Linked DNA regions of Solanum lycopersicum. The protein of the gene in region 3 binds, or shares a complex with, the protein of the main gene of each other region. Links are inferred from orthologs where the notes say so. Each region holds a gene or a part of one and is shown on either strand. Other genes may lie near its edges.

Region 1 (6,597 bases), on a different chromosome or scaffold from region 3:
TAACGTTAGCCGATATAGTCTCTTGTTACAATGACGGGTCAGATGACAAAAAATCTTGACGGATACAGAAAAGCCAGTAAACCTTGTATTTTCATGGACAAGCAAGCCCCTATGATAGTCCGATAGGAATCTTTGGAATGGAAAAGAAACACTTTTCTTTTGATAACTTACAAAAAAGATACTGACTGTAAGAGGATTGGCAAGGTGATTTTTTACATACAAAAGATTTTAAACAGCAAAGCATTAATGTCCTTAACATACATCAAACCTCTTTCAGGGTTCTTAACTCTGTTTCCTTCTTGTAATTGAAGTAAGAGATTTTACATTAACATGATAATTGACTAAGGAGACTCGGCTATATTTTTCAAGTAAAAACTTTCAACCATTAATCCTCTCCATTACATGCAAAATTTACAATGTTAGGCTCTCCAAGTGAAACCTGTAGCACGTAAATTCAATTTTTTAAATCCTCTACGCATTCAGACAATGTTACACTTGATAAAAGAGAGATCAATGCGAATGAAATTTACTCCAAAACACTTACTAAAAGTAAGTTCTCAGAGACATCATATATTCACCTCTTAGCATGTTTGACCATTCTTAATCTATTTGCACGCCCTATCAGAAAGAAAACAGAAAGATAAAAGTGATTATGATACCATAATGTGCTGAGAGACACTAGATCCTCTCAATGCCCTTGATGATAACTCCTTTTCTATATCCTCCTGTATACCCGAAAAGGAATTCAATGAAAACCATCACGAATAATAACTATATCTAATTTTTTGTTTCTTCTGACTAGTTCCAGTTCAAGATATTAAAAACCAACATACCTTTCGAAAGTATATTGGACAGTATCGTCTGTTTCTCTTTTTCACAACTAGGAGATCTGACTGCACAAGAACAAAAAGCTACAGAATTAAGCGGAGTTTAACCATATTCAGCAGTCCACTCTCTGATATACAAAATATTTAGCAAAAGCTTTCCAGTGAGTGAAGGCTCATAATTCAAAAAATACACAGGCTGAGCATGTAATGTTAGAGTTTTTTTGCATACAGTTGGCAAAAAAGTTTATATGCTACCTGGAAAACAGGGACTCCATCAAATCCAGTCTTTACATCAGAAGCTTTTAACTGTCACAGGAAAAGACAATGTTGAGATGAACAGATTTTTTTAATAAGCATGCATTGAAATATTATGTTTAGCCAAATAGATATTTCCAGGAGGAGGAGACAGAAGTTGGGTGGCAATGGAGGTCAAGCCATTAATAATCTATGCTTCATTTACTAGACTAGTGAGCAAGAGCCTACATACCAGGCATGTCAGTAACCCAAGTTCAAATCTCGAAAAGACCTCCATTTTGGAAATATTTGAATTAACAGTAAAGAGAAGAAAAAACAAGGGTATGTCAGTGGACCTCAAAAATTGATGGGTTGCAAGCAATTCTACCACCTCTGGAATCTGGTCATTAGTTAAAGCTACATGCCAGTGTACTTTCACGTAAAACTATCACAGGTAGATGAATATACATATACAGTATAACTTTCACTTGCACAACTGAACAGGCGTCCTTGTGCAATTCTACTACATTCAGTGGAAATTACAAGGATCCCAGACACAAAACTTAAGGATGACCAACATGGGTAACTACCTCCATTGCATTCTTAATTTGAACAGGATCTGGCAAAAAACGAAATGCGATTCCTTCAACCTTCAACATGTAAACCTGCAAAGTGATACCAACAAGAAAGACGTGTAACTATTCAAAATACGGGACAAGTGCCTGGCAACACCTTTAGGAAGAAATGGAAAAGCAAAAAACAGAAATTCTTGCACATACAGACAACTGCAACTAGTTGCAGTAGATTATTTAATGTACACTGGACCTGTTAAATAGAGACAAAAATGTCTTTCATTCTTAAGTTAAGCTTCAATTTTTTCTTTTTAATTTAATAGCAGAAGAAGATATATTAAACGGGACAGATCAGACGTCTGAGGCTCAAAAGGAGCACGATAGGATCCCCTTTTTTATGGATGAACAAGAGATACAAAATGTATCAATAATGCATACAATTTATCTTAATGATGTAAAAGAGAAGAAATCACTAAAAGGAATGGTAAAGGAAAATGGCTCAGTAAATTAATCTTAACCTGAGATGGTCAGGTAATCTAATCGAGCCTTATCTCAAGGGGTGCGTTTGAAAAGACTCCATTGCTTATGCTAAATACCATGCATGCTCTGTTTTGATTCAATCAATCAACTATGTGTCAATCTAAACAAGTTAGGATCGGTATCTCCATTCTGCTGTATTTGAATCCAACACTTCTTTAACTAATAAGGGACGATTCAATAACCATCAAAGTTTATACCCATTCTTGCAAGAAGAAGTTATCAATATATGCAAAGAAATAGATTGTACATATACACACAAGTCGATCATCAGTAGCTTCTGACTTTCCACCAACCAATCTTGATAAGCACTAGAGACAAAACTGTCCATCACAAATACCATATCTATTACCAGACACTTTCATGGTACTAAAATTTTGCTAAAGTTCAATCCTTAAAACAAGAAAATGGCCTTCTCCATAGAGTAATCTAATGTCACTCCTAAAGTTTGCAATTCTTTTCAAATGAATGTACAAACTTTTAAAAGGAAAGAAGAAAATAATCACCAAAGCAGATACATCCTTAAAAGAAAAATTCCTAGCAAAAGGAAACAAAAATTCACCTGATCAAGTGTCAACGGAACTACCTTAGCTCCACCTCTCACTTCCTTCTTCCGCAACCGTACCTGAAAATCTTCACGTGTTCATTTCTCCACAAACAAGCCTTCCATGTATATCAAAACTTCTATAACAACGCCTCAATTGCAAACTAATAAGGTCCACATTATGTCTTCTGTATCTGCTATCTTATGTATCAATTCCACTATATTCAGGTTCAATACATCCCAAAAATAAATAATTTGACCTTTGAAGGCAATGTTCCAATGATAATTACCCAATAATTTCTTTTAAAGCAATCATCTTTAACTTAGTTTTCTCTTTTGGGCTAATTTATACATATCTTTTCCCCTTCCTGCTACCCTACTTTGATAAAGGAGTTCATCTCTCCTTTCACTCTCTTCTATAGAGAAAAAATTCGATAAATTCATTTTAAAAAATGAAGTTCACCTGAGCAAGAAATGCCTCGGCGTCCTCTTGACGGAAGCACAATAATCCGATTGACTTCGCACTATTCGGGTCCGAAATGAGCACGAATTCATTGTTAGAATTGCTAACTGTGTATACAGAAGTTCCAGTTAATGTCTTAGCAACATAATCCGAGCTCAAACCGGTATTTTTAGCGACCTTCTCTTGACGCTGCGACACCGAAGCGAACGGAAGAGATAGATGATAAGAATGCAACGGCAACGAACAACTCCTCCCTATCGCCGCTGGCAGCGGCTGCTGCATAAAATCGGCGGCGATTTTAGAACTCAGCCGTTTCGCTTCGTCGAATCGGTTAGCGAGTTCAGCACCGAGTCGGGAGCAGTGCTGGTGGACGAAGGTGGAGAGAGACAGTAGAGGACTACTGGAGGGTCCGAATCCGCTTGAGGGTTTGGACTCCATTGATTGTTTACAGAGAAAGGGGAAGAGGATTCGGAGAAGAAGGCTTTCGTATTTCAAGTTTGGGCTTTCGGTTCACATTAGGTCCAATTATTATTATTACTAATCCATCTACTAAAGGCCCATCCATCACAAATCACAATATATAATAGTCTCGTTTGTCTAGTTTATATACAAATATTATATAAAGAATATCGGCATAAGATATAAATAGGCACACTCAAACTTGATCTCAACTATTAAGTAAAAATATCTATTGAACTCAATTTGATCTCAACTAACAACCCCTCTATTTTCCGTGGACACTTGATGCTGATGTGACATGTAAATTTTAGAGGTGTCTAGATGATTACTTACAAAGCTGGACGCTAAAGATGAGTCGAAGTATCTAGATGTGCATACTCAAAGTTAAAGTGTTAACTTGCCAATTGAGGTCAAATTTGAACATATCTGGTCGTTTTGTTCACAAACATCAAATGCAAGATCAAGCAACTTGAAGCCAAGTGTGGTGTTTTTTCATTAAAAAATAAACTTTTGAGATCTTTGTTTATTACTACGTGCTTGTAAAATAGAATAGGAGGGGTAACGAGGGCAAATTTAGCCCATTTTAGTAACGACAAGGACATATTTGACCTTCATAGTAATGAATGACAAATTTGTTTTAATTGCATAGTTCAAAAACAAATTTGATCCTTTTCGATTCTCCATAAAGTAATTAAATATAGGGATGACTTCTCAATTAATTTTCATGTAACTTGTATAGTACAAAGTTGACACAATTAATTTCTTATCTGCATTGTTTCATAAGTTATTTAGTTGGAGTAAGACCTAGTATAAACCACAAAGATGCAACAATAAAAAAATAATCAAAGCTTATTAACTCAAATAACCTCCATTTTATATTCACCAAATTATTGTTCGATAGTACATAAAAAGTTTCTAATGACCTGAAAAACATATATTCGTACGCATATTGTTTTTAGACTTGGCATTTACATGCAAGTTAAAGTTGTTACTTGTAACTATTAGACTGAGACTTCAATCTCATGTCAAATTATGTTTACATAGACACAAATAATGAAAATAATTACATGTATATAAGTGATTGGAAGCTGGATGAGAAACAAGTTACTCATATTAATTTTTGTACAACTTATACATGTTTAGTAGGTGGATAAAATCATAGAAAATAAATTATACATGTACAAAATTAATACAATGTTTAGTTGACAGTTAAGAAATCTGCACAATTAATACATGTATAACTTATGATGAAATCTATTTATTATTTAATGCATAATAGAAAGTGGAATAATTAATTCTAATAATCTAATGTATGTCTTATGGATAACTAATACACGAATAACTCATATCTGCATAAAATAATGGATCGACTAATTCATAAATAATCACTACATTACTAATAGATATCAATGCATAACTCTAACCAACTACCAAAACGATCATTAGAGATCGTTTAATTATTCTTATCCATTATTTGATTATAATAGCAAGAATAATAATAATTAATAGTATCATGAAAAGTTATTTCGAGAGTGGAATAATAGATGTTCTTCAAACTATTTTCTATTTTAAATGATGGAGGGTATTTTTGTAAACAAACAAATTATTCTTTAAATATTATTGGCATAATACATACATTGGATTCTAAACTTGGCTTCAAATTTTAACTTTGACCTTCAACTTTCATTATGCACAAACATACACTTTAACTATCAAATTTTTTTAAAACACATGAGTCCTACATGGCAAAATACATGTAGGACACCACGTTGGACAAAAAATGACATGTAGGACATGTGTGTCTATTTGTTCAACTTTATATAAGTTTAAGTGTCTACTTGTGCACACCCAAAGTTGAAAGACATAAATGTGATTTGAAGCCAAATTAAAGGACATATTTATGTATTGTGCAAAATTATTCAATTCATTAATTTTTCGTACTCCTAATATATCTAATTGTACCATAACTTGTCTTCCAACCAAACGACCCCTTAGTACATAGGTTTGCATATATAGAGCTCATGTACATAGTCTAAATTGATTCAAAATTTTCAAATACAAACTAAATCAATAACAATCAAATTTTACAACCTCGAGGTGTTTTCATATTTTTAAGTTTTTTCAATTTTCTTTGGATCTTTTCTAAAAAGTATTCACATACTGTGAGATTTTTATACTTGACTCGGATTGTCAACTCATGTCTTTACCAACTTAACGCTTAAACTCTTTTAAATCATTTTAAACACCTCCAAAGGATGATATATTCGTTTGTTATATATCATAATGTAAGTACATGGGTACTGTTTGGTTGTCCAAAGTATAATTATGCCATTAGTTTGATATTTTTTTTCGACATTTCATACTTCTACACTGATTTTATTATGTATATATATACGTATACATTTCACAAATGATGGGTTTGTTTTAATAAACTGCGTTCTCTCTCACAGAGGCGCCAGTTTCATATTTAAAAAAAAAACACAAATCTTTCATCTTCTTTGGTTCAAAATTTCTTGTGAAAATGAATAAGGATCAAGTACCTGAGCTCTACAAAATTTCGAATGAAAGTATCAGGCTGACTGAAGCAATTGATCAAGTAATTGAGAATCAAGAAATTGATAAAAACAGTTCTTCATACGTTGAAGAGTTTAAAGAAATCAAAGCTAATCTTCAACTGTTACTCAAAAATGAAGATTCCACGAAAAATGTTTTTGGGACGGAATGACAAGGTATACAAGAATCTCAACTGGGTTTTCTTTTTTATGATTGTTTATCCTTTTTCAGTTTAGAAGTATTGCTATTCTTGATGAAAATTCTATTTTATGACTTATTTCTGTTCTGTCAAGAAAACCCTGTTTTATGACTTAAAATGTTTTTGGAACGCAATGGCAAGGTATACAACAATCTCAACTGTTTTTTTTTAATGATTGTCTAGCCCTTTTCAGTTTAGAAGAATTATTG
Region 2 (6,382 bases), on a different chromosome or scaffold from region 3:
AAGGAATTTGACAATAGAGGGGACAATCCTAGTTTCATACGTTGAATTTTGTAGAAAGAAATTTCCCTTGGAGGTGCTGCCCAAATCCTCCGCTAAACCTTCAACACAATCCCGTCGAGAAGATGATGTAAAATTTTCGTTTCTTAAGTTAGCTTGCTTGTTTGTATATTTTTTTTATAAGTTCTTTGAGTGTAGAGAACTTTTGATTGTTTTCTAATGTTTTGTTTTTTGTTTTCGCAGCCAAGAAAGCAAAATGGAAGAGAGAGAGAGAGGGGTTTAGGCATGTGAGAGAGTTTGTGTGAGATAGTGCCCCTTAAAACTAGGATAGTTGGCAAGGCTTAGTCAATTTAAGTTAATAAGTAATAATCAACAACTAAAAATCTAATTTCCCCTTTTTTTGATCAGTCATTAGTTAAATAATATTAATTAATTACATTAATTTATCCACTTAAATAAAAATAATTTAATTCATTGCTTCCACCTAGGTTCGAACCCGAGTGGAGCAAGACTTTACTCTTAGAACCCATTTTCGGCCCTCTCTTCCCAAAATGCCCCACCACCTTATTAATTAAATAATTAAATATATATTTAGGGTAATTATGATATTACCCTTAGCCTGGAAAAAGGTCATTTTACCCCTAGACCCTCCAAACTTAAGATTTCTCCTTTTTAAGTTCGATAAAGACTCATCCGGGTAAATCTTCATATTCGGGAGCCCTACATGTCTGGACCCAATCTTTCCTAGCTCAACTAAATCCCCAATTTATTTGTCTTGTCTGTTGCAAGGGTTCAGAGGCCTGGTTCTACGCGCATCAATCCGTGTGAATCCGATCTAATCGTAGAAATTCTAGACACATTATGCATTACTTATCTTATACATTTTTAGGGTTGTTACAGTATAAATAGCCAAATGATACATAGAGTTTCGTTTTGAGTTCCAAAAGTTCTCTTTGGAAAATAAGGTTGAGAGTTTGAGAACACTTTACCTTTAAAGAACACTTTTCTAGTTTTGGAGGTTTTACAACTTGGTGCTTAATGTTGATAAATTGAAGTTGAACCTAAAGTGAGTTTACTCTTAATTGCTTAATTTCAAGTTATCCATGACTGCTTTCATGGAATGCATACATTCTTTATATTTTGTGATGATTGGTCAAAACCCCAAGATCTAGGAGTGCTCAAATGGAGTTGAGTGTTGATTTAATGTGCAGAGTATTGTTTTATGCTCTGTTTTGTTGTTGTTCATACAAGAATTTGATCTAATTACCATAGGTTTAACTTGAAGGTTAAGGCTGCAAACTTAATTCCTACATCTGATCTCTGGTTGATGCTCGAAAGAGATTGAAGTGGGTAATTAGTTTAATACTAGCAATTTAGGTTTGATGTTTGTAACTTGCTTGAAAAAAGGTTATGAGTTGGATCTATTTCTTTGTTCTTGAAAGAAAGAATAGAGTAGGGTATTGAGTTGTTTAAATTGACATTTAGATGAGTCCGAAAGAAGATTCTATGCATAGATGCTTTGAGATCAAAGATAATTAACGTCAATGAAGATGACTTAGCATATTCATGAATTTTCATCTCTATAAAGCAGCACAATCACCCATTCCAATCCCCGCATCCCTACATTGCTTGTTAACTCTTGGATTCATCTATATTTTAGTTCAATTTCAATAATTGATAACCTAAGCTTTATATTAAGTTGATTGTATTATCCACCCTATTGTTCTTACTATTACAAATGTGTTAAATTAAACTCCAAATTTCTTGATAAGGAATTCTCCACTATATATCATTCCATGTGGGATTCTATCCGTACTTTTCGCTAAGTTTTACTGATAGTGATTTGAGCGTTATCAGTCAACTGCTGCTACTATTGATTAGTGACTCTTCATAGTTCGAGGGCTAGGTCATCACTGGCTTTATCGTTTCTAATCTTTTCAATTTTTAGATATTATTCGTGGCGTAGAAGTTCATGTTCTAGTCACATTATGATTAATAGAGGACTTGTCAAACATAGACAATGTTCCATGTATTCCCTTATGTACTATGTTGGTATCTTTTATGCCATTGGTAGATTTACAACTTATATTGATTATATCTTTTGGATTGTCTTTATTATGTCATACTCATGTCAAGTAGTTTAATTTGTTTATAGCCTCTTGGTGTTTCATTCGCCATGTCGCGCCTAGGGATACTTTGCATCGTGACAATTTTATTTATTTTCTTGATTTTTCTTTTATATGTGTACTCATAATTTTATTTAATTAAATTAGCTTATAAATTTAATTTATTTAGAAAGAGTTGTTTGTTACTAAATAAATTCAATACAAGTCAATGCAATATTTAAAAATGTTAGTTGTTTAACATTTACTAATTGAAAAAACAAATATATCATCACATGACATTTTTGATCTTAGTTGTATGTATTATTTGTTGATATATATATTTTCTTATTATTTTGTTGATTAATTTATAAAACTACATACATATAACGAGTTTTTGGCCAAAAACATATTTTTATGTGTAAACTACTTTGGTTTATACAATTTTAATATCGTTTATCGATTTACAAATATAACAATTCATTGGTGTTGAAATGCGGCAAATGACAAATAATATTATGTTGACCCAATTACAAGATAATAAACCTATGTTATTCCAAAAAAACAAACAAACCTTTATTATTCAACTTGTACCCCCTCAGACCCCTATCCTCTTCTTCTTCTTCCTAGTTCCAAACTCCGGACGACTTGGTTAAACCCTACTTGAACATCAACTAGTTATTAGAAGAGGTAGTAGATATGAACCCATCATCACTTCTCCTCCCTATCAATCAACCTCCTCCTGTCAACACTTTCCGCTCTCAATTTCTCAATCCTACACCTCTCCGTCTTACCCCTAAATTCTACCTAAAACGCCGCATTCAGTCCACCGTCATTTCATCTTCATCTGCCTCTCTTCAGCACAAACCTACTTCCGTCAACCCAGATGTCTTTGGAGGTAAAAAGGAACTTTCTCCTATTCAATCCCTTGTTGATGCCATGTCACCCCCCATAAGAATAGCCAGCTCCGCTTTGATATTTGCTGCTGCTATTGCTGCTGGATACGGTCTTGGTCTTCGTTTTGGTGGATCCCGGAATGCTGGGCTTGGTGGTGCTATTGCTTTTGGTGCTGCTGGTGCCGGCGCTGCTTATGCATTGAATTCTTGCGCTCCTCAAGTTGCTGCTATTAATTTGCATAACTATGTCGCTGATTTTGACAACCCTGCTGCCTTGAACAAGGAAGATATTGAATCAATTGCCAATAAGTTTGTCCACTATGCACATTTGGCTTTTTTTTTTTTAAAAAAAAAATATATATATGTGTTATCAGTGACTAATTAAATTAGATACCAAGTGTGAGCAAGTTATTCTCTACTGCAGAATCTTGGACTATTTAGCTACATTATGAGCTCTCACACCCAACTTTCTCATACTTATTTTTCTACGTCTTTTCCTTACCAATTTACTGCTTTTTATCTTTAAGGTATGGTGTCAGCAAACAGAATGAGGCATTCAATGCGGAGCTGCGAGATATATATTGCCGGTGAGTGCAAAATCAAGTACTGATTTCTTAAAAACTCTTACGGCTGACACGAAACTTGCATTTATTACAATTTTTCAATGTTATATGATAATCTCTTTTTTTTCATTTTTGGTTTCTTCTCCCTGACTCTCGAATGACAAATTTTTCTTTTTATGAATTGCTTGCTTGGATATAAATAACTAAATTTTACCCTTTGAAGCACTTTGTAGGATAAAGTATGGCTTTTGCACTTTGTAGAATAAATTTATTGTTCTTCCATTCCCAAGATGTGTCCCAAAGTGTGTCAAGTTTTGCAAATCAAAAAAAGAAGGAAAATACTGTCACCTTTCTGGAATTACAACTTCTTCCACATACTTTTCTAGTTTTCTATAATATTTTAGTTCTTTATGACCCAGAAAGTGTCAAATTTTCTAACCTTGTCTTGACATATTGACCCAGTTACATTTGAATGGAAAACTGTCCATCCTGTTGTGATACTTGTCTTGGACACCTAAAGGGAATCAAGCATAGTGTTTCTCTGATCCATTTATAATGTTTATCTTGAAATTTGAATGTTTTTGACTATTTTATCTACCAATGACAAGGAATGACTAACTTGGTAGTTTAAACATTGTCAGCTTATCTACCGTCACATATGCATCCAATTTTGTTTGTGTTCAGGTATATATCTGCTGTCCTTCCTGCTAGTACTGAAGAACTTAGAGGCGATGAAGTTGATACAATAATCAAATTTAAAAATGCATTGGGAATTGATGATCCAGATGCAGCAGATATGCATATGGAGGTAACTTGAAGTATCCATCTGATTCTGTACCTAAGAGTTGTAAAACTTCTAGCTGTGGTTGGCTCAAAGTTAAAATGTTATGTTATCAAATAATTTACCAAGTATTAAGAAACTCTTACATGTTGATCTCTCAGATTGGTAGGCGAATCTTCAGGCAAAGACTTGAAACGGGAGATCGTGATGGAGATATGGAGCAACGTCGGGTGGGTCATCTCTTCAAAAAGCTTCAGTTTCCAAAGACTACTGCCTTAAGTTATCGAATAACAACAAATGGAACTTGATCATTTTTGACTTCTCCAGGCATTTCAGAAGTTGATATATGTCTCAACTCTTGTATTTGGAGAATCATCTGCTTTCCTTTTACCTTGGAAACGTGTTTTCAAGGTTACTGATGCCCAGGTAGCGGATTATTTATCACTCTCTCCCTCTTTGTGGAGTATTCAGATTGTGCAGTGGCATGTCCTGCTTGTGTGGTTTTAACATTTCTGTATTTTGATTTGAGGTTCCTGTCATTTGTCTCTTTCCCTGCCCCCTTCATTTATGTAATATTAGATTTCTATATAGTGCGACCCCCTGTGTCCTTTTACTCGTTTTAACATTTTTGCCATTAGGTTGATGTTGCTGTCAGGGACAATGCACAACGGTTGTATGCCTCCAAGCTTAAGTCTGTTGGGCGAGGTAAGTTTTCTCTATTGATGCCTTTGAAGGCACTTTTACTTCTAACGTAACCTATTCATAGGAAACCATTTTACTAGTTTTCTTTTGCATACCTAATTAAACTAATGCTCTTCCAAACTACTTGTCGATATTCTTGGGTATGTTTTCTAAAATTTTCGATCTCTATTAAACTGATTCTAATAAATCTGTATATGTGCTTAAATTTGGCTTTTTTGTGGTATGTGGTGCTTAATCCTGAACAAAGATGAATCATACCATGAGGCTCCACATATGTGGCATGGGTTTAGTATGTTCTATTCATGCACTGAGTAGAGACTTTTTTGAAGTCTTTCTGTCGCTTCAAATTTCTTTGCATTTTAGTGATATATCCTATTGGTTTATGGGTTTTGAGAGCCTTCTGACGATAGCTCTTGAATCTGGACATCTCGTTATTGCTTAGAGTAGAGGGAGTCTTTGTATGATTCCACCAATCTTATATGGAAAATGCTAATTCTTTCATTATCTTCACGAACTCCACTCTTAGTAGCATCTACCTTGAAATTCTATGTTATGGACTTGTGGCGGTGTCAGGGTGATATCACTTGTTTCTTTTCATGATTTAATTCCTGCACTGCACTTCAGTGGTTTTGCATGGTTAATTTAATTACTTTACCTGTTCCAGATATTGATGTGAACCAGCTGATCAGTTTGAGAGAAGCACAGCTTGCATATCGATTGTCCGATGAGGTAGTGCCTAAAAAAATTATCATAATTCTGCTTCATATCCCTGTAGAAATACCTTTTTCTCCTCGAAAAAGGAGATAAGATTGCTATGAATTTGTTGCACAATATTCATGATTGAATTTACTTTGTCCATGTATTCTGTCATCAAATATATGCACAATCATGTCCATTTCTTTCTGTTTGCAGCTTGCACATGAGATGCTTAAGGAGCATGCAAGAAAGCTTGTTGAGGAAATCATATCAACTGCTGTTGGCATATTGAAGTCAAGGACAAGAGCAACGTAAGGTCTTTTAAGTATATTTAACCTCTTAAAAGGGAACTTCCATTTTACTGGATAAATTTTTTACCAAGCAATTCTAGTTAATAGAAATGGGACTGCTCCTATAATTTCTAGCAAGACAGAATGTATCATATTCTTTGCTTGTATCATTTGTTTAATTCAAACTGATTGGGTTTGTTTAGCAGGGAACCCACGCGTGTCATTGAGGAACTTGATAAGGTATTGTCATATAATAATTTGCTAATCTCATTGAAGAACCATGCTGATGCTAGTCGCTTTGCTCCTGGCATTGGGCCAGTTTCCTTAGTAGGTATGTACGTCGATGATCTTGTCT
Region 3 (6,414 bases):
GAGTAAATCAAAAGCAGGAAGTTACCCCTCAGATATACAAAGTTGTGCCTTTCCTTTCAAATCTCCGTCTTTCCCGTAATGCTATCCACACTAGTACTATTGGAGATACATCCCACGTTTGGCATCTTCTTTTCACTTCTCTAATGGCCCAACTAAATAATGCATCCTTCACAGCACCCAAATCATTGTATCCCGAACAATAGAAAAAGCTCTCAAAAATGTGATGCTAACCTAAGTTGCTCAGAATTGGGTGCAGGTGTCTGATACAGGTGTGGATCTAGAGGTCAGATCCTCTATGATCAAAATATTAAGAATCGGGGATACAAATCCATACATGGATACAGGTGCGGAGATTTAGCTAAAAAAAATTCAAATATCAACTAATAGAGTTATAAAACCTAAATTATGAAATAATTTGTGGAGAACTTGAGACGAAATATTGATCAAGAGGAGATCCTGAAGGGAAATAAAAGGTAAGGGAGTGACAATAGAAATCTATATATACAAAGGTATTTCATTTTCTTCAATTTCACCTTAGCTTTTGTTTTGATTATATAAACCATTGAATCTGTCCTGAATTTCTCCCTTGAATTTGGTCAAAGTACCCAAAACTAGATGACCAGACACACCCACACCCACACCCACATTGTGTCGACACGGGTGCGGCACCGAAAGTGAAGAGTATGAGAAACTTAGATGCTAACTAGCATTGTAGTAAGAGATATCCCATGTCCTACACAAGGGTTCACACATGAAGCATTAACTAACATAAGTAATCCTCCTCTTTTCAAGTTTTTGGTTGTCAAATTCGCATCCTCTAAGCAAACAAACAGCCTTTCCAAGAGCTCTAGACGTCCAAACAGATGAGGGAAATCCAACTTCGCTCTAGCTAGCACCTTACAGTAGCAACTTTTCACTGAAAAATAGACTCCTGCTATCTAACACCCAATTGTCATGGCTCTCTACCAGTAAATTTGCTTGTAGAGTATTTCAATAGACTTTGGAACTCCACTATGTCCCAATCCCAAAATTTCCTTCATAAATTTGAGATCCCAAATAACATGCACATCATGTGATCTTAGAACTTGATCTAGTATCATCTCTTTTAAGTTAAAAAACTCTAGATTTTGGAGAAGTGATCCTTAACATGTTATATTCGCACCTCCTGTCCAGCAAAAAACTACCCTTTCATCCATCCCCCACCCGCAAAGAGATGCATAACTCTTCCTTTCCCTGTATAATTTTCCTGCAAAGAGGGCATACTTAAAAGGATTCGTGATGTTTCTTGTTCTCCAACACCCCACCCCATTGATAGCTAGAACTCTTGAAGTCTACCCGAGCATGCTGCTTCATTCATCCATGTATGTTGATATCACCTCTCCATAGTACATGTTCCTTTATCCTAAATCTTCACGGCAATTTCCTTAGCAAGGCCTTGTTAAAAACGCAAAGATCTTCCTTCCATCTTTTAACAAATATCTTTTTTTGATAAACAAATACAAAATTCCCCAATCTGCAAATCTTTTCTCTACCATTATCCTATAATATATTTTGGGAACAATATCTTATCCAGAAACTTGAGCTGACAACTGCATCAGGCCATTAGTAACTTTTTCCTAACATAAAAACATACTACATATTGGGATCATTCTTCAACAAATTAAAACAATCAATTTCCAAGTTAAACATTTATAAATGGTATATTAGATTTTTGATATGCTTAACCACTTTGAGCCCTTAACTATAGTTACTAGTCAACAAAAATATGCTCTGCTTGTAATATTTTAGATAACACTTCTATATTTTAGGCTCTCTCTCCTTTTCTTTTTTTCCTTTATTGTGAAGGGCATATGAATACCTACATAAAGTGCACTAAATGGACTTTTGGCTCTGTTGTTGCATGCCTCCCAATATATAAGCACCTATAGGCAGGATTCCGTTGGGGTATATTACTACCCGTCGGCAACAACAGAAAACTCGAGACTGATTTTCATCAATTAAGAGCAGGATGATGCAGACACAACCGGATGTGGGAAAATCTTTCATCCTAGAGATTTTTTACTTGTAGCATATTTTTGGTAGCTTTAGATTTATATTTATGCATTGTTTTATCCCCAGGCCTTTGGTCTAGTAGTGAGAGCAAAACTTGTGATGTTTAGGTAAGGCGCACTAATGGATCCAAACAACAAAAGCCTGGTATTTAAGTGGAGAAGGGTGGGCACTCCATTATCCACCAAGTTTCAAACAGTGCACCATTAGCAGGGATCTCTCAGTTATCAAACAAGAAAAAAATATTTATGTATTGTTCTTCTTAGTAAACTATTTGAGCTTTAGGCCACTATATTAAGCTTCCATAGCAGTGCAATTTTGAGTATTTAGGTGTGCTGCAGAGAATTTCATGAAATATAGCCAATTCATCTATAAGCCAGTTATTCTATATTTTCCTTCTCTGTTTCCAGTCCTACTTGCCTTATAAATCACTAAATCAGCATGTAACAGTTTTTTATTTTTAGATGGAGCCTGTAAAATTTAAGATCTTTCAATTCTGAAATGAATTCAAAAGCTGGCATCATAGAGATATTTATGTAATATTTACAGTAAAATGAATTATATTAGCATACATGTGATTTTTTGATACATTCATATCTTTAACCCGGTACGGGGTACCATTTACGGAAGAACCCACATTAACCTCATCAATAGATACCTTCAAATCAGTCACCATGTTCTTGATGGCATTCACAACTCATTTATCAGATGACACCATCTAAACTATTAATACCAAAAGCCTTCATTTGCAAGATACTTGATTTGCATTTGATAACGATTCTAGCTCGGGTAGTAAGTTTTACCATCTACCCATTAACATAGTCAAATGTTGCAAAAGTTTTTTTACTTTTGTAACCTATCAGCATATACAGTTACCTCACAAACATAGCAGCCTTTCTAAATCCTATACAAAATACTGAACTGACTTAATATCCATTAGCAACTAGACAAAAAGAATTATCATTAAGTTTATCCGTCCCACTGTTCTTCACATCAAAGTTCACAGCAGTATACTTGTTTTACAAATAGAAAACAATATCGACAAAGTGTCCTATCCAACCAAATACAAAACATATGCACAAGCAAGAGTTAACTAGCAGAATGTCACAGTCCTCGTAGAAACAACTCGCACTTTAAACTATTCCACACAGACACCAATTCACTTATTTTAGTATGAACAAATTGGCATTTATGCCTACCAACATGCAAATAAATCAAGAAACATTTTTAGGACTGAAATTTCAAATATTTCTCTCAAAAGGTAACTTCTGTTAATATTGAACTCCTGTTTGAGATGCAGCCAAGCTTTAAACAAATTAAGAAAGAAAAAAATGTTTCTAGTCCTATTGAAAGTAGAAACAGCAAATTTAACATGATCAAAACTCAGCCTAGTGCACCCCCTAACAACTAAATATATCTAGAAACAACTCTAAGAAATATAATGCAAATGAACAGATCTACTCTTTCTGTGATGAACCAGATAAACACAATACACATACAAAGAGGAGACCAAGGGATAGAGAATAAGAATAAGGAGCACTTCACACAACCAACAGAATTTGAAACAACTCTAGTAACCATAATTCAGAAATTCTCTTCAAAAATAACTACCCATAATGAATAATTTCTAATATAATATGCAATCAAGTTTAAGAGTAACATAGCATTCAATAAAAGATTCATTTTTAAATGAAGGGAAATCAAAACTGCACTTTCCAACTACTAAATAAACAAAAAAAAATAGCACACAACACCACAATTTCGAAAATTATCTTCAAAAACAGCTAATTATGGGTAATAAAATCTACTTTAAGAGGAATTGAAACTTCAAATAAAATACAGAATACATTTAAGATAAAAAGACATTGAGCAGTAGATAAAAGAGTTGAAAGTACCAATCTTTTTAGTGAGCCTTGGACCCTGAAAACAAGAAACCACTTCAAAACAAGTTGTGGGTCTGACAATTCTTCCATTCTTGAAGGGTCTTTTGGGTAGATGAGGAAGGCCAAAGAAGGGTTTGCTTGAAATTACTGAGTTTGAAGAGAGACCCAATACCATTTTAGGTGAAGAAACTATACCTACGTTCTCCATCACCTTGAAAAATACTCAATTTTTAGCTGATACTTCGCCTTATTACAGAAGAAGAAGATCAGAACTGCAAAAATGATATCTCCTTTTCGCTTATTTTGCAACAAAGAAGAGAGGTGTAAGTGTGATATCGGCTGGAGAAGAGTGTTGTGAATTGAAAATGGAGCGGGTTATATGGATAGGTTTCGCAGCAGCTTTCACAGATTCAGTAAAATGTCCATCTAATTTGTGTTACTTACACGTATATTTTATTTTTGACTTAAGTCATTTGCAATTTTTTAAAATTGTCTACATAAAAATTCATTTATATATTTTAACTATGATTTGTATCTATTGAATAATTAATACTATTTTTAATTCAATATTAAATATTTGATGTAAAATTTAATATTTTGAGCTTCAACTTATTCCAATTTCTACAACAAATTTGGTGTGTGGAATAATATTGTAACACTATTCATCATAAAAATTCACTTTTTGAATATTATAATATTATTTCATTATGCAAATTTTTAATTAACATTATATAAATTGTATATTTTAATTAAATATCTTTTATATTTAATTATTTTTTATGTAATATTTTTATAATATAAATTTTAGATATAAAATTTACTTTTTTAAATTAACTTTTCTATATAACTTTTTTCTAAAAAATTAAATTTATGTTAATTCTACTATAAATTATATAAACTATAATTAATTTTCACAAAAATTAAAAATACAAACATATAACTTTTTAAACAAATAATATTGTACTTAAAAATAGCAAAAAAAAATAAACATTCAATGATGTAGTAATTGACATACATCAAAATTGAAATATAAAATAAATTGTAATTTTAAAAGTATATAATAACTTAATAATCTGATAGATTTTTTTTGAATCCATCAATAATATTAAAATATAAATTGTATGGAGTCGAAAATTATTGTGGTTGTGGTTGCACTGCTGAAACTGTTGACTTCTTTTTTTCATTATTCGACTTTGTTATTGTCGAACAAATTCACGAACATTTGGATCAGCAATACCATCCACTCCATTAATATAAATTTTCTTCTTTAAATTCTTTAAATTTCAAAACTCTATGGTTCATTTGGAACTATGTAATGTATTAATAGAGCATTTATGGGAACACCGAAGCGATCTTGAAAGTTGAATATTTATGTAGAATTTTAATATATTTTTTTAATTGTGTAATATTTATTTAATTGTATTTCATTAATGTTTTCACTTTTATTTGTATTATCCATTATTATGTATAATGTATAATATTTGCTAGCAATTTATATTGTTTAAAAAAGGAATAAGTGCACAAGTACCCCCTCAACATATGCCCGAAATCTCAGAGACACGCTTATACTACACTAAGGTCCTATTATCCCCCTCCCTCCCCCGAACTTTTTATAAATAATTTTCTACCCCTTTTCGACCTACGTGGCACTATCTTGTGGATCCAGCGTTGGTTGACTTTTTTTTTCAAGTTAGTGCCACGTAGGCTAAAAAGGGGTAGAAAATTACTTATAAAATAAGTTCAAAGGTAATAAGATCTTAGTATAGTATAAGTGTGTTTCTGAAAATTTGGGCATAGATTGAGGGGATACTTGTGCATTTTCCCTTTAAAAAATTATAATACAAAATAATTTTATACTAAACAATTATGAAAGAAAATAACATAAATTATATGTAGCGAATTTTTTAGAAAGAAAAAGTATAAATGAAATAAGAAATAATACAATAATAATAAAGAGAGAAAAAATATTATTTGGTGCAGTGGATGGAGTTGAACCAAATTTGATGTTTGGGTTGGAGATGCCCTAAATAATTCAAAACATGTGTCTATTGAACACTTTATGCTGATGTGGCAAAATAAGTGCATCTCACTACACCGAAGCGCGTGAGGAAGTCTCAAACTTCTTTACATACTTTTTTTTATTAATAATAAACTTGTAACTTTTTTCCTTCTAATGACACTTGGCATTACATTAATTAAAATAACTAAAAATAAACTTTTATTCAAACTATTGTCTTATAATACTCAAAAAGAAAAAAAACTCACCCCCACCACCACCCCTGGAGGTTATGTCAACAATTGTTTTCTTCACCCCATTTTAATCATTTTAAACTGTGTTGTGGTTCTTCATTTTTATTTTTCGCTCTTTATATGAAAAAAAATTGAATTTGCTAAGTGTTAATCGAATTTATAAGAATGAGAAAAAATCAGACATCGAAGTTATAAAGGCAACCTCCGTCCATCTTTATTTCGGATCATTTCG
Region 4 (4,889 bases), about 7.8 Mb from region 3:
CCCCATGCAAGTTTCAAACTTCGATTCTCTGTATGGTTGAATTTTACAACTCTCTCTCTTTCAATCTTTCTGGTTTTGTTACTAGCCATTACCTCTTATTTTCCTCTTGCCATTGTTTGTTGAAACCTGAAGCAATGGTAATATTTGGTGTCTCCCTTGTGCTGCAAACAACGTTTTAACTTCCATTGTGCAAAGCTTTCGTGGGAGAATTTAGTGCTTCTTAGGGGATTGCATTTTTTTAATCTTAAATGATCATTCTGCTTTGACAGTTTGCATTACTGGAGACCTCTTCTGTTGATGATGATCTTGCTAGCTTAAAAAAGGAATTGAGCGGAAGCGCCAAGGTGAGTTCTACTCGATCTATCCATATAATGTATATGAAATGTTTTGGATGTATCTTCATTGTTGAATGCACGAATTAATAGAAGTATGGGCACCTAGAGGACAAACTTAATTGAGCTATGCTTGGCCAAATATGCTAATTATACCAAGCAACAGGATTTCTAGGATAGAAGAAAATAATCACGAACGTTGGCCAGCTATTTTCTTTTTTCTCCCTGATATTGTTAATGGGTGATGTCAAATTTGAATAAATCGAACTGCATATTGTAAATAAGATGAGACGAAGTATGAGTTGCTTCTTTCCATTGTACACACTTATGGCTAAGTTAATTGTGTAGCCATGAAATTGTATTATCCATAAAAGCAGCTTGGTTTGGATGTTCATAAGAACTTGAAGGTGTCCTTCAACGACGAATTAAGAAAGGAAGTCCGAACAACCTTAAAAGAAAGAAAGTCTAACATGACATTTTACGTACCTATGATGATTATAGGTCATGTTGCTTGTTGCTTCCTTGCTTTGGCAAATCTCTTATTTTTTACTTGGAAAAAACCGAAAATTAGCGTGCATATTTGGTCAACTTGAGAGGGTGCGGGAGGTACTTGAGGACGCATAATTAGCTCTATTGTGCCCCCCCCCCCCCCCACCGCCAAGGCTTTGGTCCAGTGGTAAGAGCGTAGTACGTAATGTGTGAGCTAGGGGCACATCACAAGCCGTGCCTCAATTGGCCCGCGGAGAATTTTCTCAACTATCAGGAAAAGAAACAACATAATCTGCTTTATTGTTGATGTAGAGCTGAGGTATTTTGGTTTAATGTTTTCCTTTTATTGACTAAGCAGAAAGGGGATCTTCCACCGGGGAGAACACCAGTTACCAGATCAAGCTCGCCATTACAATTTCAAGATTCAGAGATTGAAAAAGAATTGAACGAGTTAAGGAGGCGGGCAAATGACTTCTAGAGATCACAGTCGATCTTTCACACTACAAAACATCTTCCTTCAGGCATTTGTTACTCAAAGATTGTGGCTTTTGGATCTTCCGAGAAGTTGCCTCATCGATAAAGGCCAGCGAATATAGGAAGTGAAACTGGAAAAAGTATATTGAGATATGTTGATATATCTTTTTTCAAATTATTGACCTACATTATGGCAATATAGTGTAAGCTAGTCCTGACTACAGTTTTGTATACTGCCACCCAAATGTTTTCATGTGAGAATAGTCACTTCAAGTTGCATTGTAGTAGATTTGGAATTTCCACAGTGTTGTTTTTGCTCTCATTTTGTGACGACATGCTTCAAACTTTCTTCGCAAGGTACGGGCAAGGTTGTGTATACACCATCCTCCTCAAAATCTTATTTTTGTCTCATAAATAATGAGCTACTCGGAATAATGTAGCGATGGTCCCTTTCTCTTTGACATGAACTTAGTGAAACTGAGTTCTCTGCAAAGATGCGGTGTAGCGAATGTAGGGTTGTTCAAAATTGATCGGAACCGATATTCCGTATCGAAAAAAAGTTATTGGTTTAGCGGTTTTGAGAACGGCTTTGATTTTTTTTTTGTTATCGGGTTATCTTTTGAGGTTATCTCTTAACTGGATAACTGATAATCCGATGGTTAATTAAATAATTATATTCATATCATTTTGCTTATAAAGTCCTTAATTTAGAGTTTGGTTTCCTACTTTTGTTTCTGATTGTCTCAAACACTTGGTTATTCTACGATGTAAAAGTGTTTGCTTTTGAGCAAGATGAAACTTGTGAATTCATGTGCATGGTTAAATTGGTTTGCCACCTTGTTCTAAAGTGATTTTCAATGTGTTTTTTTGTCAAACTTAACGGTTAAATAAATTATCGAACCGAACGATCAATAACTGATAAGCTAATCTTAATGGTTCTACAACCGTTTAGCATATCTACAAATCGATAACTAATAAGTCAAATCGATAAACTTCAAAGCCGAAGTGTTCGATATGTAGCCCTAACTGAACGGATAGACGATAAGACCCTATGTACCTCAACTATAACTTAAATGTGTACGATAAGTTAGAGATGGCAACACACAACAATCAATTGATTAATCCTGAACTTCACAACAACTTTAATCGAATGTACAGATGAGAGGTGGCAACACATAACATAACAACCAACTGACAAAGAACTTCACACAATCTTAATTGAACCTATATGATATTTGAGAGGTGGCGACGCACAACGAGCTATATTGAAAATTACTCGTTGATCAATCAATAATCCGTTGTAGTCTAGTTGGTTAGGATACTCGGCTCTCACCCGAGAGACCCGGGTTCAAGTCCCGGCAACGGAAATTATTTTTTTTCTAATTTTTTAATCAAAATAATGCATTACAACTTGTACCTCAAACAACAAAAATCCATCTTTATAAACACCCAAAAAAAACCTCACATTTCCCCTAAAAATGGCTTCCATTCCTCTTCTCCGTTTCACTCCCACTACTACCCCTCGTCTTCTCCCCCACCCTCTCAGCCTCAATTTACTCCAAACCCGTATTCAAACCCGAACCCGTATCCATACCAAACCCACCACTTCCATCTCCGCCTCTTACAACCCAATCCCCGCCACCGACCGCCTTATCTCCGCCGTCGCTTACTTTCTCCCCTTCTTCAACGGCCTTCAATACGGCCGTTTCCTCTTCGCTCAATACCCAACCCTAGCTCTTCCATTTCAACCAATTCTCCCTCTTCTATCACTCTACCGGTCCCTCCCATACGCTAGCTTTGTCACTTTCTTTGCACTCTACTTAGGTATTGTTCGGAACGAGAATCTGAACAAGTACCCCCGGTTCAACGCCCTGCAAGCGGTGGTGCTCGACGTTCTACTGGTGCTTCCGATGTTGATTCAGAGGATATTTTCACCGGGTCAATCGGGTATTGGGCTGAAATTTACGGTTTGGATGCATAATGGGCTTTTTGTGTTTGTTGTGGGCTGTTTTATTTATGGGCTTGTTTCTTCTATACTTGGAAAAACTCCTTATTTGCCTTTTGTTACTGAAGCTGCTAATAGGCAAATGTAGTTCTTTTTAAAATTTATTTAATATGTTGTTTTGTGGTTTTCTCTAATGAAAGGAAGGTTTTTGTTGCATAGAATTGTAATTTTAATGTATGATATTTTAAATCGAATCGTCGATGAGATGTTTCTCCATGAGAGATGCAATGGAAAGGGCTCGTAAAGTTCAAATCTTGATAAAGTAACTTCTTGGGATAAATAATAATATCTTGATTTTGTAATGGAATCATTACACGTTATACTTCACACCGAACAACTCGTAAATGTACTAGTAATAATGGGTTTTCAATAATACATTGTTTCTTTATCAGCTATCAAACGATCTCTAAGGAATATCAATGGCTTTTGTTGAATAGAGAATATAATTCCTTTGCTTATATCAACACTTTTCAAGGTTTGGTCTACATGCATATCATACATTGTCCTCCTCAGATCCCACTTGTGGGATTACGCTGACTATGTTGTTTCTGTTGTCGTAAGTTACATTGTTAAAGGGTTGAACTTCAACAAAGAATAATAAAACTACATTTTGTTCATCATGCAAGGCCAAAACCAGAATACTATCATTGACCAGAAAAACGATAGGGCTTCATAACCTGAAAACCATCTCAATGTAACCATAGGATCATTCATTCTTCTGGTGAAGCAAATTAGGGAGCTCTAATTGAACGACTCTTGCAAGTGTAAAACCTTTAATCGCGCCAAATCTTCATCACATTAGAACTACCATAACTTGAGTTGCTAATAGACTCCCAACAAGTCGCTGCGTAAACTATACAGTACTCCAGCCAACTTCTTTCCTCACTTTCCTGTCTTTCATTATTTTCCTCACCATTTCTACCTCTTCCCACATTCCTACACAACTATATAGGTCTGAGATTGAGATGTAGTACCCATCATTTTCCGGATCAGACTCAATAGCATGTTTTGCGATTCTTATACCCTTCTCAACCTGACTGTGAAGTTTACAAGAACTTAGTAAAGAACCCCAGATAGCTGCATCTCGAGCTATTGGCATGGACAAAACCAAAGTTTCAGCGTCATCCAGATTACCAGAACGACCAAGAAGATCAACCATACAAGAATAGTGCTTCAGTGTGGGCATCAACGAATAATCTTTCATTCGACTAAATATGGACTTTCCTTCTTCAACCAGCCCTGCATGAGCACACGCTGAGAGCACAGCAAGAAAAGTAAGTTCATTCGGCTTAATTTCCGTCTGTTCCATGTTTTTGAACATTTCTATAGCATCATTTGCTTCTCCATACATAGCATAGCCTGATATCAGTACGTTCCAAGAAACGATGTCTTTCTTTTCCATTGAATCAAATATTTCTCTGGACTTTGTTAGCTGTCCACATTTTGCGTACATATCAGTCAATGCAGTATCAAGCAAAGTATTATTTCCGAACCCAACTTCCTTGATGTATTGATGAACTTTCTCTCCTTTCTCCAGGGAAGACACTTGAGAAGAAGCGGAGAGCAAAATCACCAGCGTTGCAATATTA

What was found. Proteins that work in one complex are often made in the same cells at the same time.
Region 1: protein TIC 40, chloroplastic (region 3) and protein TIC 22, chloroplastic share a complex: the UniProt entries of both Arabidopsis thaliana proteins name them as parts of the tic complex. The link is inferred for Solanum lycopersicum from reciprocal best matches to the Arabidopsis thaliana genes TIC40 and Tic22-IV.
Region 2: protein TIC 40, chloroplastic (region 3) and protein TIC110, chloroplastic share a complex: the UniProt entries of both Arabidopsis thaliana proteins name them as parts of the tic complex. The link is inferred for Solanum lycopersicum from reciprocal best matches to the Arabidopsis thaliana genes TIC40 and TIC110.
Region 4: protein TIC 40, chloroplastic (region 3) and protein TIC 20-II, chloroplastic share a complex: the UniProt entries of both Arabidopsis thaliana proteins name them as parts of the tic complex. The link is inferred for Solanum lycopersicum from reciprocal best matches to the Arabidopsis thaliana genes TIC40 and Tic20-II.

Annotation. Positions count from the first base shown.
Region 1 is NC_090803.1:65,446,968-65,453,564, forward strand, and holds the start of protein TIC 22, chloroplastic, read right to left. Parts: upstream 3,729-6,597; 5' UTR 3,616-3,728; coding exon 3,178-3,615; intron 2,796-3,177; coding exon 2,733-2,795; intron 1,727-2,732; coding exon 1,652-1,726; intron 1,134-1,651; coding exon 1,083-1,133; intron 894-1,082; coding exon 834-893; intron 726-833; coding exon 660-725; intron 1-659. UniProt on the Arabidopsis thaliana protein: Involved in protein precursor import into chloroplasts. Imported into the intermembrane space via the Toc translocon. May be involved in the import pathway used by proteins without a cleavable N-terminal pre-sequence.
Region 2 is NC_090808.1:26,783,798-26,790,179, forward strand, and holds the start of protein TIC110, chloroplastic, read left to right. Parts: upstream 1-2,654; 5' UTR 2,655-2,798; coding exon 2,799-3,304; intron 3,305-3,522; coding exon 3,523-3,582; intron 3,583-4,242; coding exon 4,243-4,366; intron 4,367-4,500; coding exon 4,501-4,569; intron 4,570-4,666; coding exon 4,667-4,765; intron 4,766-4,977; coding exon 4,978-5,044; intron 5,045-5,705; coding exon 5,706-5,770; intron 5,771-5,953; coding exon 5,954-6,048; intron 6,049-6,230; coding exon 6,231-6,358; intron 6,359-6,382. UniProt on the Arabidopsis thaliana protein: Involved in protein precursor import into chloroplasts. Forms a voltage-dependent cation-selective channel at the inner envelope of chloroplasts, which specifically responds to a transit peptide.
Region 3 is NC_090810.1:11,552,585-11,558,998, forward strand, and holds the start of protein TIC 40, chloroplastic, read right to left. Parts: upstream 4,337-6,414; 5' UTR 4,141-4,336; coding exon 3,945-4,140; intron 1-3,944. UniProt on the Arabidopsis thaliana protein: Involved in protein precursor import into chloroplasts. Part of the motor complex consisting of a co-chaperone (TIC40) and a chaperone (HSP93) associated with the import channel (TIC110).
Region 4 is NC_090810.1:3,714,955-3,719,843, reverse strand, and holds protein TIC 20-II, chloroplastic, read left to right. Parts: upstream 1-2,736; 5' UTR 2,737-2,773; coding exon 2,774-3,388; 3' UTR 3,389-3,461; downstream 3,462-4,889. Other genes in the region: membrane-associated protein VIPP1, chloroplastic, read left to right, coding at 270-344, 1,180-1,299; pentatricopeptide repeat-containing protein At4g39952, mitochondrial, read right to left, coding at 4,154-4,889. UniProt on the Arabidopsis thaliana protein: May be involved in protein precursor import into chloroplasts. Not redundant with TIC20-I, TIC20-IV or TIC20-V.